Daphnia pulex: one gene and its partner. The protein of the gene in region 1 interacts with the protein of each later gene in a pairwise test. Links are inferred from orthologs where the notes say so. Each region holds a gene or a part of one and is shown in the gene's direction. Other genes may lie near its edges. The genes, in order: vacuolar protein sorting-associated protein 51 homolog and exocyst complex component 7-like.

Region 1 (3,928 bases):
GCTACAAAATGTTGTCTCATCATCAATTGTTAATTTTTTGGTTCCCTCTTTTACCCAATTTTTTAACTCTGGCAAAGTAGGTGCAGGAGTGGAATCTAGATGAAGCCATGAAATCTCTTCTTCCACTACAACAGTCTAGAAGACAACAGAATGAATGAATGAAATAATCAAGATAAATGTAGACATTAACAACCTCTCTACTTGAGTCCCATTCAACATCTTCAGCTTCCAATCCTTTTATCTGCAAACCCAATCCTCTTCTTCCGCGTTGTTTAGAGACTTCGATGGGCTGTGTCATACCTTGGGATTTCTTACCAAGTCCAGTTCCTTTAGCCCAACCCATTTTAGCCTTTAAGTAGTTCAGAAATCTATTAGCAGCCACATAGTATGCACTGTAAGAATATTAAACTGACCATCATTGCTGTGGCTTTATGATTTATGACTGGAGCAGCAGCAGATTTAGGTTTGATGAGTGTTTTATGTACAGAAGGCATGATAGGCTGATCATCATCACTAGAATCAGAATCTTGACTACTGGATGGTGCATTAAACCCATATCCTCCATCAGCATTACTTTTGGATGGGCTAACAATGACAGTGCTACGTTCACATGTTTCAATGTCATTTAGTTTCTTTCTTGAGTTAACTTCTCCTGTATTATTATAATACTGTGTGTTTGGTTTTTTCAAAGGAGGTCTGTAACTATCATCATCTGAACTGGAATCTGTAGAAATTTTGCAGGAAATTACTTATATTATATATATATAACCCATTAGTTGCAAAACGGGTTCCACCAATTTATTCAAGCTAGGTTAATTATTGCTGAAGATAAACCAACTTTTTTCTATAAAAAAATTTAAACAGCGTCTCATACTAACCACTCAGTGATGTTATTTTTCCTTGCGAAGCCATTGTTTAGCGTTTTGTAGTTGTGTAGACTATTTGATGACTGACGTCGTTCCTAATAATATAACGTTTCCAAATTTTTAAGTTAATTCAAAAGCCAAAAGCTTCCAAAAGTTGATTTCCATGATTTATATATGACTCACCAGAATTAAACGTACGCATTGACATGTGGCTATAGAAGTCAAAATGCAAGCATCTTGAAAATACACAAAAAAAAATGTCTGACGAATGATTTAATAAAACGATCGAATGACCGAACGGAAGAAAGTAAACACCGCTCGTTCTTGCTCACGCTAGCATAATCTGATATCTGTAGCGATGTCTGCTACAGTCTGGGTCTTTCATTTTTATTGGCTGATATGAAAATATTTTGAGTTTAGTATCAGTACATAGAGGGCAGCAGATAAGGTGGGGTCAGCTGTTAGTGTGGTGGTATTATTGTGTAATGTAATGAGCTAATCAGCCAGCAGCTCTCTGCAGACTGCATATCCAAAACCTAAAGCAAGCCGGCCTGTCATAATTTCTTACCTGTTATTTTTATGCCTTGGGTTGGCGGTTTGAGACTTGAAGCGTTAAGACATTCTGACATCAGCTCGCGAAACGTCAAAAACTTACATTAACGCTATCCAATCCCCAACCATTCGATTTGCAGTTACAACCACAGACTAAGAGGGTAAAGACTACGATCAGGGATAGGGCTAAAGAGGGATGCTTGAAGCGATGCTCGTCCTATGCCGTATGGTGGCGCGTCGAGCACACAAAACGAAAGCCATTATTTTTCCTCTTTCCCTACTGATTAGAGTCTTCACACACCGTAAGTTTATAATTAAACCATTAACATATCAATAGTGATGTTTTGTGTAAATATAGCTTAGATATCTCCCATGTTGTGGGAATTTTTTTAAATTTCTATGTGATGTCTAGATACAATCTATAAATTCCTTTATTAAACCCCCTTTTTGCCCATTTTCAGGCCCAGGAAACAGCGTTTCACGATTTTCAGGCCCATTTCAGAAAATCTTGAAACGCTGTTTCCTGGGCCTGAAAATGGGCAAAAAGGGGGTTTAATAAAGGAATTTATGGATTGTATCTAGACATCACATAGAAATTTAAAAAAATTCCCACAACATGGGAGATATCTAAGCTATATTTACACAAAACATCACTATTGATATGTTAATGGTTCAATTATAAACTTACGGTGTGTGAAGACTCTAATCAGTAGGGAAAGAGGAAAAATAATGGCTTTCGTTTTGTGTGCTCGACGCGCCACCATACGGCATAGGACGAGCATCGCTTCAAGGGGTTTATAGCCGTTCGTGGTCTTTACCCTCTTAGTCTGTGGTTACAACTAAAGAAATGTATGTGCGGTATGTGTAATCACTAATCAGTTGGTGAACAGTGCCAATGAAAAACGTCAAAATGAGTAAAGAACTAAATGAAAACGATAAAAGAAAAAGAAACAATCTTCTTTCTCAATACTATGGGATAACAGAAGAAAAGGATGTAGAAAACCTTTTTGACGTGGATGGAAAGCACTTTAATGCTGATGCCTATGTTGACAAACTGGTTCAGGTAATCATATTCTATTTCTTATTTTGCCAAATAATAAAATAAAACTTTTATGTGCTTGGATGTTTTTCAATAGGAAACCAGCTTAAAGCAACTTATAGATAAAGAACAGGAACTTGTTCGTGAAATTCAATCACTTGATTCAGAAATGCAAACTTTGGTTTATGAAAATTATAATAAATTTATCCTTGCCACTGATACCATCCGCCAAATGAAAAGTGATTTCAAAACTATGGAAGATGAAATGGAGAAGTTAGTTCAAGACATGTCTCATATTGCAACATTTGCCAACAATATATCTTCAAATTTACAGGTTGGTGAAATATTTGAGTTTAGAGTTGATTAAATTTTTAATAATAATGACCCTGTCTTTTTAGGATCGGCGCCAACAAATAACAAAGCTTTCAAACATTCACGAACTGCTAAAAAATTTGCAATTTTTGTTTGATCTTCCCAACAAGCTGAAAACATGTGTAGAAGAAAAGAATTATTCATTGGTTTGTTTCATTGACATTATCTGTCTATATTTCCTGTATTAAACTATAATGTTTCTTGTTTAGGCTGTTAAGTATTATGCAAAATCTGAGCAAGTTCTTCAAGATTTTGGAGATCATCCTTCTTTTAGTGGAATCCAATCAGATTGCAAAGAAATTGTTGAAACACTCAGGAAATGCCTAAAGGTGCAATTCAGCAGAGCTGAGGTAAGCTGTAAAAAAAATATTATGTTGGAAAGTAAGATAATAAGAAACTAACCAAAATGTCTATTGTGGAATTTTACATGACATGTTCATGGAATTCATAGGTAACTTCCCAGGAACTAGAAGAATCTGCATCTCTTTTATGCAAACTAGGTGAATCTTCCACTGACCTTGCAAGAGAATTTCTTGAAATCAATAAAGTGAGGTTAGAAAAAGATTTGGAAGATCTATCCTCATATGTGTGGTCTGGTGAAAATAATGGAGAAGTGGTCCTCATATTCATTGAAAAATGCTGCAATACAGCATTGAATAACGTTGCTCTTACCATTGCAACCTTCAACAACATTTTCCCTTCAACCATATCGAAACATAATGAGTATGTTTTACTTTTTATTGATTTTATGGTTTAAATTTTTTGCGTTTTCATCATAATACGTTGAATTAACAGGGGGATGAATAGCATGGCCACGGATGTTATTAATCAACTTTGCCCAATAGGTAAGGAGCTATATATTTCACCCTAGAAATTAGCTCATGTCATAAAATTTCCTTTTCGTCCCTGTAGTGGAAAGTAAAATTGTCGAAATCATCGGATTCGAGATAAGTGAAGCCTGCTGTTTGTCAGTAGTTGCGGCTTTGGATAAATTTCATCGTCGTCTATTGGCCGTTCAGCGACTATTACTGGTGGATAAGCAATGGAGCTTCACTCTCATTACTGAAATTGCTCGAATAATTTCACATCGAACAGCCGA
Region 2 (3,928 bases), on another chromosome or scaffold:
TGACATCATCTCCTAGACAACGGGGTAACCCATATACACCTTGGTGTTGAGAGCCTAAAGTGACTAGATTTACCATCGGAGGATCAGGGCAACGTTGAGCTACAGCTCTCCTATAATAAGCAGAAAATTAAAATGATTCAAAGATAATCTTAACTATTCAACAATAAAGATATAATTACAAGAACTGCCCCCCTTGAGATACCCCTAATCCATGATATCCTAATGCTAATTTAGGGTCATTTTTGATCAGATCACACACAAATTCAACTTGATCGTTTGCATTCTTGATGTATGCATTTTCAAAATCCTACATAATATTGGAATTGTTGGTGTAAATTTTTAATTGAGCTATACTGAATTAATACCTCACGAATGGTCTTGCCAATCTTCAGCGAAATTACATAGACCTCAGGAATTTGTTGTTGTATAAATTTTTGTAGGCCCCCAATACTCAATGGATTGCAGCAAACATCACCTACATACCCATTTCAAAATTTATCATGAAATTGTGAATGAAGTAGAAACCTTAAATGTGATTACCTAATCCGTGCCAGATCACAATTGGTAGTATTGATAAAACCATTTGACAATTTATTAATAAGAGGAAAACACACATTAAGGGAAGTGTGTACTTCATTCTTGATTCTTTACCCAAGGAGGACTACTCATACACTTACGGGGTCAAGCTAATAAGTTGGCTTGGAATTTAGACAAAGCAGTTACGTAATTGAATTACAACCATGCACGAGTTTCTCACGTTGACATTTGACATTGACATTTGTGTATTTGACATTTCTTGGTGCTGGGCTGGCTTCAAAATTTATTCTTTTTTCAAGGTTAGTGTTGACTATTTTCAACAGGTGGCCAGGTTGGTTCATAATCGATCTCAATAGAGGGCTATTCAAGCGATCTTAAAAAAAAAGAATGTTGCAGGAAAAACAACAAAATCGTAAAAAGGTTATTAAAATAATTTAAAGTCGCTTCAAAAAAACGTAGAACTGCGGGTCATCGAAAGGGTGACGGCAAAATAGTTCACGAGTCACCACCGTTTTGGAGTTTTCCCATTTTTCTACGACACAACTTCCGTGAAAACAAGAACCCATTTAGAACTTAGTAAAATCAGATTTCCATTTTACCTCAGATTACCTTTTACCAAAACAAACTGGTATATCTGAGCGCTTTTTTTCTTTATGAGCCGTATTTCGTCATTAGCCACATTTTAGTGGGGCTCGGATTGCTCCCATGTGCTTGCGATTATAATGGACTCAACGTTGAATATTTTCTTCCATAATAGACGGCGACGTCTTTTTTAGATTTTTTTCTTTGTCCAACTTCAACTTGACGCACCAATCGAGGAATTTACTTTTTTTTGTTAATTACCTATTTACCTACCGTCTACCCTACCGAAATAAAAGACCGTTTTTTTCTAGCCGGTAGATGGCGAGAAACGAAACAACTGACAGAAATTCAGCAAAATGTCAGATTTTAATCATAAACATGAAAAGGTTACTTTTTTGTTTTATATAGGCCTACTTAGTTCTTCTTTATATCATTTGATTTTATTTGTTTTAAATACTAATTTTAAAGGTTTGAATATTAAACTCAATTTCTTGTTACAAAATTCAAATTTCTTTGCTGTGACTGGATACTCACATATATGACTGGTTATATTGACATATTGTATCAAACAAATAATGGGTTTAATTAATGATTGGTAAAGGTGCTGACAGGACTAGTCTTTCTTCAAGATGCTGCTTCTAGAAGTTCTCAGCTTACTAATGGAATGGTCAATATTTTGACTTCATTTGATGAAAGGCTTGCGAGACTTGAAAAGACCATTTTACCAGTCTACAATGAGACAAAAAATTTGCAACAGAAACAAGAAAGTAAATTATTAATGAGATCTCATATAATATCAATATTTCTTGTATTTCTAAATTTACAAAATCTAAATTTCTTTTTAACTTTCTTCGTGTTTATAGACATTGATAAAACATTAGCCTCTTTGGATCATGTCATTAGCTATTACAGTGTCAGCAAGGAAGTTGAGCCTGTCATAAAAGAGAGCCCTTCAAGTCAGGGTCTAGAAATTTTTCTCCAATCCCTCGGTCGATTGCAAGAAGCTATGCATTTCTTTGAGAGAAATAATCCACAGAGTGTGGAGTTAGAAAATGTTGTAAGTTTCATTTTTATTTACAATCACCATACCTTACAAACTTAAAAAACAACTTTTGTATTAGATGAGCCTATTTGAAACTGGCAAAGATAATATTATCAGCGAATTTAAAGAACACCTAGCAAAACATAGTCAAACCATTCCTGCTACAGCACTTTTGGAAGCTCTAGCAAATGATGAAGGTGAACCCCATTTATCTATAACTACCTGAAAATTCAATGTAATGTTCCATTTTCATTCCAGAGGAGATAAGTATAAATCACTTCTCTGCAGATGTGAAAGACAATTTGATGCAAATAGCTGATTGGCTTGTAACTCACAATGAAGATGACTTCATGAATGTAACTTGTAATCATCAATCATTAATCCACGACATATTAAATAAACTTTGTCACTGATTTACTTTCCAGGTTTACGCTCGGTTTCGCGCAAATACTGTGCAGAAAACCCTTCTTGGCCTTCGTGATCATTTGAGAAGTTCATCTACTGGGGTATCGAGTCACCAAGGCGTGAGTCCCGTAGCTGCCATGTCGGGAACGGCTACATTGCTGGTAATCTAATATTTATTGTGACTACTATTAGGCAATATATAATGAACTTCTTTTATAATTTTCAGGCAAAATCAGGTGTCAAAGCCAGTTATGACACTCCAAGTAGAAAGACATCTAAGAAACTACAGCAAATGCTTGAGCGCAAGGCCAACCAAATGCTTTTGAAAGCTTCTCAAACGTTGGAAAGCTCTACAGGACTGGCTTTGGGCCCCAGGAGAAGCGCTGCGGGTGAGAAGACGAAATTAAATTTATTTTACTTTTTCCCAATTATCATTATTGTTTCTTCTTCAGACAGTATAAAAGAAGATGCTGTCGAAGAACACGAAATCGAATCGTTCTTAACCGAATTCACGGCACTTTTGCGACTACTGCAGAGTGAACTGAGACTTATGTTGGGTATTGTCCCTTTGCCGCATCAAAAAGCTGTTCTGTCTATCATTCTCAGAGACGCATTGGAAATGATCTGTCACGATGCCGAGGTTGGAAATATTCTTGATTCAATTTCATCGGTTAGTCATTCTTGTACTTTACTAATTTTTAGAGCTTAAGCGGCCGAGCGCGCCGAAGTGTTTCTCGTCAAGAGTTCGGTCCCGTTTTGCTTCTTTTTCCTGCCTTACGCCATTTAGTGTGTTTTAAAGGCGACTGTGATAAATTGCTGGAAGGATGCGATTCTTCTGTTCGCACACGATTTTACGCAATGGTTAATAATCTCCATACAACCGTAAGCTAATAACTCACCATAATTTAGATTCGTTTTTATCACTGTGTTATTTTGTGATTGATTAGTGCGGCAAGGCCCTTGAAGACTTTGCAGAATCTGTGCGTTCTGAATCTGCAGCTCCATTGCCTAGAGATGGCACGGTCTATGAAATGACGAGCAATGTCGTTCTTTTTCTCGGCCAGTTGACTGATTTGTCTGACACAGTCGGTCCGCTTCTCGCCCAAGATCAAAGTTATTCCAACGCATTGGTACACACTCAACCCTGGCCGAAACCTCAGAGAAACAAAGCTTTACTAGGACTTTATATCAGTAATTCATTTTTCTTGTTCAGGTTTAACTTAAAATCTGGTTTGATTAACAAATTACCCTTTTTTTTTTAGAAAAAGTGTTGGTTCAACTAAATTTAACTTTAGTTACTAAAAGCGATGCGTACAGCGATTCTTCTTTGCGCTATATTTTTCGATTAAATAACAGCCACTA

Evidence for each region.
Region 2: the proteins of vacuolar protein sorting-associated protein 51 homolog (region 1) and exocyst complex component 7-like interact in a two-hybrid assay, tested with the Drosophila melanogaster proteins (2 studies listed by BioGRID). The link is inferred for Daphnia pulex from reciprocal best matches to the Drosophila melanogaster genes Vps51 and Exo70.

What each region holds. Positions count from the first base shown.
Region 1 is NC_060021.1:636,579-640,506, reverse strand, and holds the start of vacuolar protein sorting-associated protein 51 homolog, read left to right. Parts: upstream 1-1,360; 5' UTR 1,361-1,557; intron 1,558-2,250; 5' UTR 2,251-2,313; coding exon 2,314-2,481; intron 2,482-2,554; coding exon 2,555-2,791; intron 2,792-2,855; coding exon 2,856-2,975; intron 2,976-3,038; coding exon 3,039-3,179; intron 3,180-3,280; coding exon 3,281-3,552; intron 3,553-3,624; coding exon 3,625-3,674; intron 3,675-3,741; coding exon 3,742-3,928. Other genes in the region: cap-specific mRNA (nucleoside-2'-O-)-methyltransferase 1-like, read right to left, coding at 1-135, 194-349, 414-724, 879-912. UniProt on the Drosophila melanogaster protein: May act as a component of the GARP complex that is involved in retrograde transport from early and late endosomes to the trans-Golgi network (TGN).
Region 2 is NC_060020.1:3,980,471-3,984,398, reverse strand, and holds the start of exocyst complex component 7-like, read left to right. Parts: upstream 1-1,373; 5' UTR 1,374-1,475; coding exon 1,476-1,505; intron 1,506-1,641; exon of another isoform or gene 1,642-1,664; intron 1,665-1,720; coding exon 1,721-1,886; intron 1,887-1,982; coding exon 1,983-2,176; intron 2,177-2,240; coding exon 2,241-2,358; intron 2,359-2,419; coding exon 2,420-2,517; intron 2,518-2,586; coding exon 2,587-2,727; intron 2,728-2,792; coding exon 2,793-2,955; intron 2,956-3,018; coding exon 3,019-3,206; intron 3,207-3,268; coding exon 3,269-3,448; intron 3,449-3,513; coding exon 3,514-3,757; intron 3,758-3,828; coding exon 3,829-3,928. Other genes in the region: palmitoyl-protein thioesterase 1-like, read right to left, coding at 1-110, 180-307, 366-475, 541-637. UniProt on the Drosophila melanogaster protein: Required for exocytosis. Thought to function in intracellular vesicle targeting and docking before SNARE complex formation.